2 linked regions of the Danio rerio genome follow. Each later gene encodes a partner of the first gene's protein in a complex. Links are inferred from orthologs where the notes say so. Each region holds a gene or a part of one and is shown in the gene's direction. Other genes may lie near its edges. The genes, in order: unc80 and nalcn.

The links.
Region 2: the proteins of unc80 (region 1) and nalcn are in contact, whole or in part, in a cryo-EM structure (PDB 7SX3), measured with the Homo sapiens proteins. The link is inferred for Danio rerio from reciprocal best matches to the Homo sapiens genes UNC80 and NALCN. Residues at the interface, in NP_115893.1 of Homo sapiens: Lys1979, Asn2004, Glu2005, Cys2006, Asp2007, Leu2128, Arg2129, Leu2130, Pro2131, Pro2134, Arg2135, Ile2138, Asp2139, Phe2142, Phe2145, Ser2146, Glu2179, Asp2184, Glu2185, Met2187, Leu2188, Asn2191, Asn2194, Ile2198, Leu2199, Glu2202, Ser2226, Leu2227, Ser2228, Gln2231; in NP_001337678.1 of Homo sapiens: Asn639, Met643, Val644, Ile646, Lys648, Leu649, Pro650, Phe653, Val655, Pro656, Lys657, Ile658, Arg659, Glu660, Phe662, Met663, Lys664, Gln665, Phe666, Ile667, Arg669, Val711, Ser713, Arg715, Ala716, Arg717, Leu719, Lys722, Glu723, Ala725.

The regions. Positions count from the first base shown.
Region 1 is NC_133181.1:17,599,191-17,603,019, reverse strand, and holds part of unc80 (protein unc-80 homolog), read left to right. Parts: coding exon 1-87; intron 88-550; coding exon 551-723; intron 724-3,518; coding exon 3,519-3,731; intron 3,732-3,829. UniProt on the Homo sapiens protein: Auxiliary subunit of the NALCN sodium channel complex, a voltage-gated ion channel responsible for the resting Na(+) permeability that controls neuronal excitability.
Region 2 is NC_133184.1:33,300,835-33,304,663, reverse strand, and holds part of nalcn (sodium leak channel NALCN), read left to right. Parts: intron 1-1,320; coding exon 1,321-1,443; intron 1,444-1,629; coding exon 1,630-1,686; intron 1,687-2,741; coding exon 2,742-2,862; intron 2,863-3,829. UniProt on the Homo sapiens protein: Voltage-gated ion channel responsible for the resting Na(+) permeability that controls neuronal excitability. NALCN channel functions as a multi-protein complex, which consists at least of NALCN, NALF1, UNC79 and UNC80.

The DNA.
Region 1 (3,829 bases):
AAGAGGAGAATTTCTTCAAGAGGCTCGGTAAATGGCGGTCTGGTCGGAGGAACCCTTCCAAGCTCCACCACACAGAGGAGAAAGATGGTAGAACCCTGGGGTGCCTTTCCCCCACCCCTGTCCACAATTCGCTCTGTTGTTCGTGTGTGTGCCCGTACTTGACCTGTCTTGTGCTTCTGGTACACTCCTCTACCATCTTCCATGCCAGCTCTCTGTGTGTGTGTTTGTCCATTTTTGTCAGAACCATCCGCTGGAAGAGGAAAACTGTGGTTCTCTGACCTATGACCCTGGCACCATGACCCGCCACAGCTTTGTCAGAGTTCTCGTAAACCTTCAGCTCTCCAAGTTAATAGTTACTTGAGGAAATTTTGCAAGTCATAATTTGTAGATCTTGTAGTGTTGTTGTGATTTCAGAGTAGTGACACAAACAAATTTAAACACTTGCATGCTCATTCGATATCACCGGATGCATATTTCACCGGCTTTTTCAGATGTTCATGCTGAAAGTCGCTACATTCATTTCAATGATGCCATTCTGTACCCCAACAAGGTTGCCATGGATTCCAGGAGCGCTTGGCTGCCAGTCAGGAGGCCATGAAGAATAAGAACATTGTGAATCTGGGTGCGATCAGACAAGGCATGAAGAGGTTTCAGTTCCTGTTGAACTGCTGTGAGCCGGGAACCATTCCAGATGCTTCTATTTTGGCTGCAGCACTAGACCTGGTCAGTTCTGTTTCTTCGGTTTTGTGTACAGATAGCTGTAGAATTACATTTAAAGCATATTTATAAGGGGATAGACTTGAAAGCCATTAAAGGTCTAGTTCACCCAAATTCGGTCATCATTTACTCACTCTTGTCTTGACTTGTTCCAAACCAGTTAGAGTTTTTGTATGTTCTATTGAACACAAAGGAACATTTGTTGGAGAATGTTGGAAACCAGTAACCATTGACCTCCATTGTACACTACCTGACAAAAGTCTTGTCGTCGATCCCAGTTGTAAGAGCAACACATAATAACTCCTAGTTGATCATTTTGAAAAGCGGCAGAATGTAGATTTTTCTGATGTATCATCTGTTGAACTACATCTTAATCATCACAAATACAGCAGAAGACCTATTGGAACCTGCATAGACCCAAGGTTCTCACAGAAATCAGTCAAGGTTGGGTTACTTTCAGTATGGGGGAGTGCTGAGAGAGATCTGCAGAGTGGATAACAACATTGCTGCCCATTACATTACAAACCACAGGAGAGGGCAAATTTCTCAGGATATAGCTCCTTCTCATACTTCAGCCTCCACATCAAATTTCCTGAAAGCAAAGAAGGTCAAGGTGCTTCAGGATTGGCCAGTCCGGTGACCAGACATGAACATTATTGAGCATGTCGGGGGTAAGATGAAGCAGGAGGTATTAAGATGAATCCAAAGAATCTTGATGAACTTTGGGAGTCCTGCAAGAACACTTTCTTTGCCATCCAGATGACTTTATTAATAAGTTATTTGAGTTATTGCAGAGATGTGTAAATGCAGTCCTTCAAGCTCATGGGAGTCAAACACAATATGACCAAGGTCTAAGCAAAGTCAGACCTTACTGTCCTTATTAAATCATTAAAAATCAAGGCATGATCATATTTTTTTGGTTAACTAAGTTTAATCTAGAGGCCTTTGCCTTTCATGTAAGGCACTTCTGATACCAAATGATCAACTAGAAGTCAAGTTATTTTGTGTTGCTCCTAAAACTTGTATAGGCAACAAGACTTTTGTCAGGTGGTGTATTTGCTATTGCTACTATTAAGGTCAATGGTTGCTGATTTCCAACATTTTCTTCAATATATCTTTCCTTGGGTTCAACAGAAAAAAAAAACTGTTTTGGAACAAGCCAAGAGTTTTTTCTTTTATTGAAGACAAAGTTTTAAAAAAGGATTCACAATTTTACATATTTTGTCCCAATATTACATACATACAATGCAATAAAATCACAAATAAAGAAAGAAAAAAAAGAAAAACACTCACATCACAAACCATTCCTTACGAGACCTTTTTAAGAATATCTGTTGAGGCTGTATTGTATTTTTTTTAAATATTATGTGATGCATTAGTCCATATAGTTCTTATCAAGATAAACAGATAAAAGGTTGCCAGATTTGGTCAAATTGCTCAAGTTTTTACTTTAAAAAGTACCTAATTTGCTCCAAATGTAAAGTAGAAATTATTTCTACAACCCATAGTTTACATGTTGGAGCCTCTGTTTCTTCTAAAACAATTCTGAGAATTCTTAATTGTAGTTTGTGTTGTGTACTTGATAACAAATACATTTGTCCCAGAATTAAAAATATCAGATCAGGCAGTAATTACACCCTAAAAATCTCAGAAAGTTCTTAAAAATTCCATTCCAATAGCTCTGTATCTTAAAACAGAAAAAAAACCTATGACATATTAGCATCAACTGTATTACATTTGTCACAAAGCAAATTTATTATCAAGCTGTATGTAGCTGTTTGTGCAAAATTTTGTAAATCAACCTTAACAGCAAAATTGTATTTTTTTAAGTATTAATTCTGAACTGATAAAATGAGCTTTCCTGAATTCCAATGTAGATCCAAGCAGAAGCTTCAAAATTCATCTTTTAATCTTGTATCCGAACTTTGTTTGCTTATGGTTGGAATTACAAATTTTAAGTTGCTCTTATTATACTACTTTGAGTTAAGGCTGCTCTTTGTCTGCACAAAAATCAGTGTAAACACAAAGCCACATACTGGAATAAATTCCTCTCTGACCCAATTCAGCCCTCTTGTATTAAATACATTTGTGCCACCTCTGAGCACCTCTATGAGAAAAAAAAAAACATTGTTATTTATGATTCTGTGCCAACAGTTTGGTCTAATTTAAGCCTTAGGACCCCAAAAAAATGGAAACTGTAAGCTTTCTAATGATGAAAGATAAAAATAAAATATTTATAATGATAGTTATGTTTCTATATTACATTATCTATTCAATAGTGGCTGTCATAGAACCATAAAAAATGGAGATTAAAGATTCTAAGCTTTTGTTTGACAAAAATCCATTAAGGTTTTTATTTAACATTCTCTTTTAAACTAATAATTAGCAAAGGCTTTTTTTTAAATGCTTTTCCCCAGCTTAACACCAAAAGAATAAAATAAAATCCCTGGGTAATAATTCTAATTCTAATAATAATAATAATGATAATAATAATAATAATAATGATGATGATGATGATTTCCCAGAGATGGGTTGCAGCTGGAAGGGCATCCGCTGCGTAAAACATGTGCTGGATAAATTGGTGGTTAATTCCGCTGTGGCAACCCCAGATTAGTAAAGGGACTAAGCCAAAAAGAAAATGAATGAATGAATGGATGAATTACAATGATAATTATTATTATTAGTATTCTAAAAAAAATGTTCTTTGTGTGTAACATTCTATAAATGCTCTGTCAAAATTAAAAATTATTTTTAGATGAGCTAAAAAATGTCTTGATAATGTTTATAAATGTCTTCCCCAGGAAGCTCCAGTGGTGGCGAGAGCCTCACTCTTTGTGGAGTGTGCTCGTTTTGTGCATCGCTGTAATCGAGGGAACTGGCCAGAGTGGATGAAAGGTCACCATGTGAACATCACTAAGAGAGGTTTGTCCAGAGGACGGTCGCCTGTAGCAGGAAACAAAAGGAACACAAAGCTGCAGTGGAATGCTGCCAAGCACTTTTACCAGTGGGGAGACGTGAGTCAGATATGCAAATGTTGTCTTTTCTGCAGAAAACAAATCTTACATGCTTTTGCAGAATTGCATCTGTGGTATTTTGTCTGCATCTAATATAT
Region 2 (3,829 bases), on another chromosome or scaffold:
CTCACGCAATCACCTAATGTGATTTCGCAGGTAAGAATTCAACAAGCTTGATCTTTCGAATGCAGTGAAATGCGAAACACGTGCTTGCGTTTCTGGTCTTCCGCATTCGCATGGCTATAAATGGAAGTCTTTGGAGCAAAAAGTGCAGTGTGATCACGGCTTTATAATAGAATTAGTTTTACCTACTAATACTAGTTTCACAAACTATTAAGATTATCTTTTCTTTTCTTGGCCGAAAACATGCTCTCACATTATTAGTGCTGTATAAACATCATCTATTTTACATAGATATAAAATAAATTGAAATTATTGTGTTTTATAATATGCTGTATCAAGTTTAAACATTTCTTATGATATACAACGTATATCTAGACATTACATGAAACATTAGGTCATGAAAAGTGACTTGAAAGTCCTGGAAAAATCATGAAATTTTTGTAGTAAAAATGTCTAAGAACCCTGTAAATATCCAAAAGTGGACTACGTTCACACTGCATGCATATGTGGCCCAATCATCATTCTGTGCTGCAAATGTCCTCTGCTCCTCAGCAGCATAAAAATAATAATTTAATGCAAAACTGGCACTTGTTAACCATTCATTAACAAAATAGCTATATTTTACTTATAATATAATTAATAATTAATAAATAATTAATTAATTAATAATTAATTAATAATTAATACATTAACAGAACCAAATATGAAAGACTGATATGAATATGAAAATAAACCTACAGTACTCCGCCTTCAAAGTTCAGTCTGCGGCTGCTGCTCATTAACCCTTGATAAGTTTACCACATCGGTGGACAGAAGGACGCACACCACACTTGTCATAAATTACAAATGATCAGTGTTTTCAATCAAAAAAGATTTATAGATTGGGTTTCCGAAATACACATTAGTAGTAGCAGAACAAGTACAGTTCATAAAATATACAATGGTTATGTTGTAAAAGGGTAATAAATATATTAAGCCTAATCTGACAATGTGCTTACTTCATTGTGTGCATAATTAGACATTTTGGGTATACTTTTGGGCATACAGGTCAGTTTAGGACCATGGTCTGTTCACACTGCAAATTGGATACTGGCCACATTTATAACAACAATGTGAACAGCTAAACAAAAAATAAATAAATAAATAAAATAAAACAGATCTGAGAAAAAACATCAGATTTGAGCACTAAGCCTTGCAGTGTGAATGTAGCCTAATAATAAAAGCAGTATTGGGGAGCAGAGTTTGCAGTAGATGAGGTTTCTGATTTTATTCTGAATTCTTATTTGTTGTTTTGTTGCTTTTGTTTGGTTTGTTAATTCTCAGAAAAGTCCAAGAGGAGGAACTTCGGGAAAACCATCCATACTTTGACAAGCCACTCTTCATCGTTGGTAGAGAGCATCGATTCAGAAACTTTTGCCGAATGATTGTTAGAGCCCGTTTTAATGCGTAAGACTAAAACTATTTCACATCCATTGCATTATATAGAGACAGTAGTATTTTCATGCACATCATGGCGATGACTAATCCCTTTGCACCATAGCCACTGTTATTTGTTTCACAAACTGTTCTCTGTGTGTGTGTTTGTTTTCCATACGTTTGCTGATACTGTGTTAATGGGCTTTTTATGAATAGGTCAAATACGGATCCCAATACAGGCGCAGTGAACAGCACAAAATACCATCAATTATAGTAAGTCCCAAAATGTTTAGGGCTTATGCGTTATGATAATCTGTTATTATATACAGAGTTTTTATTTATTTATTATTATTATGTTTTGTGTTTTTGTTTTGTTGTGAAATTCATAAATTGTATAGAGTAATTGCAGCATACACCTGCATATTCCTTTTAATATAACAGTGCATTCAAAATATAACTTTTTTAAAGTTGCAGTATGTAAATTGTAGTCAAAAGAATAACAAAAAGCATTTATTAATGCTCATAACTACATAAAAAGTGAAAATCGTCTATTAAATTGAATTGTTCCGTATAAAAGTCAACAAGTGTACTCTGTCTGACTTTCACTTAATTTTTCTGACACACTTGACAGTAAGCTCTGTGTTTATGCTTCATGCTCAAATGTTAGCTTGCTGAAATGCTCAGTAATGCAGTTTTCTTCAGAAGTTCTCAATTGGTGAGAACAAAACTGGCTGAAATGTTACATACAGACATGTCAATGTAGAATGACAGGTCTAATGTGGTGATTATGATTAATAACTTAGCAAGTAAGTTACAGTTTTATATTTCAGTCCGAGATGGCAACATACTGTATTTGAAAAAGTTAGATGGTGCAGATTAAATTAAATGTAACAAATTAATTTAAAATGTATTGTTTAAATGTTAATAAATAGTGTTAAATCATCTGGATCTATTATATTAATGAAAATTGCCTTGAACATAATGCTAAAATATATAGTATATCTTAGTTTCATATTTTGGGGGGTCAAAATGTGATTTGGCTCTATGAATGTTACCCTTAGTTATGTCTATTTTGATTCTAGAAATGCAGTTTGAGAAAAGGGCTTTAAAAAAGTTTCAATCTGGATGACATTCCAGTGTGGGATTAGAAGAAACTTTTGGGCTACATTGTCCTAAAAGGATTTCACCAGTTTCAAAGATCTGAAAAATTAAGTTACATAAGCTCAGACTGAAGAGCAGGAGGAATGCAGAGTAGGAAAATCCTATTTTGACACATTCAGCCTGCACTAAACCTTGCATGTGTGTCTGTGTCTGTGTGTGTTCTCCAGTGATTTGCTGGGCTTGGTAACCTATCTGGACTGGGTGATGATCGTGGTCACTATCTGCTCTTGTATTTCCATGATGTTTGAGTCTCCTTTTACTAGAGTCATGCATGTCCCAACCCTGCAGGTATTCTAAACCTTACTGCTCACCATTCTTTGTCACACACACCTCTAACTAACTATATTAGACTGTAAATGTTCCTCATCTCTCTCCTGAAGGCCGGTCATCTTGTCTTGTTTTTGTTGCAGCCCAGTACCTTTGATTGTAAATCCAATTAATTTAGCTCTTTAGAGCACATTGATTATGATCTCAACTGCAGTGTGTAAATGAAAGGTTTAGGGTTCCTCTGTTTCGAAGATTTTGTACTGTTATTTATGAGACAGAAAGATTGACCTGTCCCTCTTGACAGTTTTCTGTCTCTCTCTTTCTACATTATTTAATTTAAACTCCACTTCAGACAGTCTGAAACGATCTGATCTATACGTGATATGGGTATTTTAAAGATCAATTCCTGTTCTAAGCATAGAAAAAAAATTGTCTTGCCCTAAATGTATTCTGACACATCCAGTCTTAAAGCCTTCTATAAATTGCTAGAAGAAAAGAAAATGCTTTGCCAAAGCCGTCAATTTTTCAGTTATGTTTTCTGTGATTAAATAATTGTGGCATTACTGGCTAAAAATTTTATGTTGATCTTGTTTATATTCCATAATATCATTCTTGCTTTAATAATAATTTATGGTAATAATTTTTTTTTTTCTACAAAACAAAGATTCAGTTGGAATTAAATTAATCTTTAACCGAAATAAATGAAAAAAAAAAAATATATATATATATATATATATATATATATATATATATATATGTGTGTGTGTGTGTGTGTGTGTGTGTGTGTGTGTGTGTGTGTGTGTGTGTGTGTGCGTCTGTGCGTCTGTGCGTGTGTGTGTAATCGATTTGAAATGAAACAAACAAGATATGCTTTAACTGCAAACTGTCAACTTTAATTTAATAGCTTTGGTATTTACATCCAAATCAGGTGAATGCTGTAGGAATTACAACAGTTTGCATATGTGCCTCCCATTTGTTAAAGGTTCAA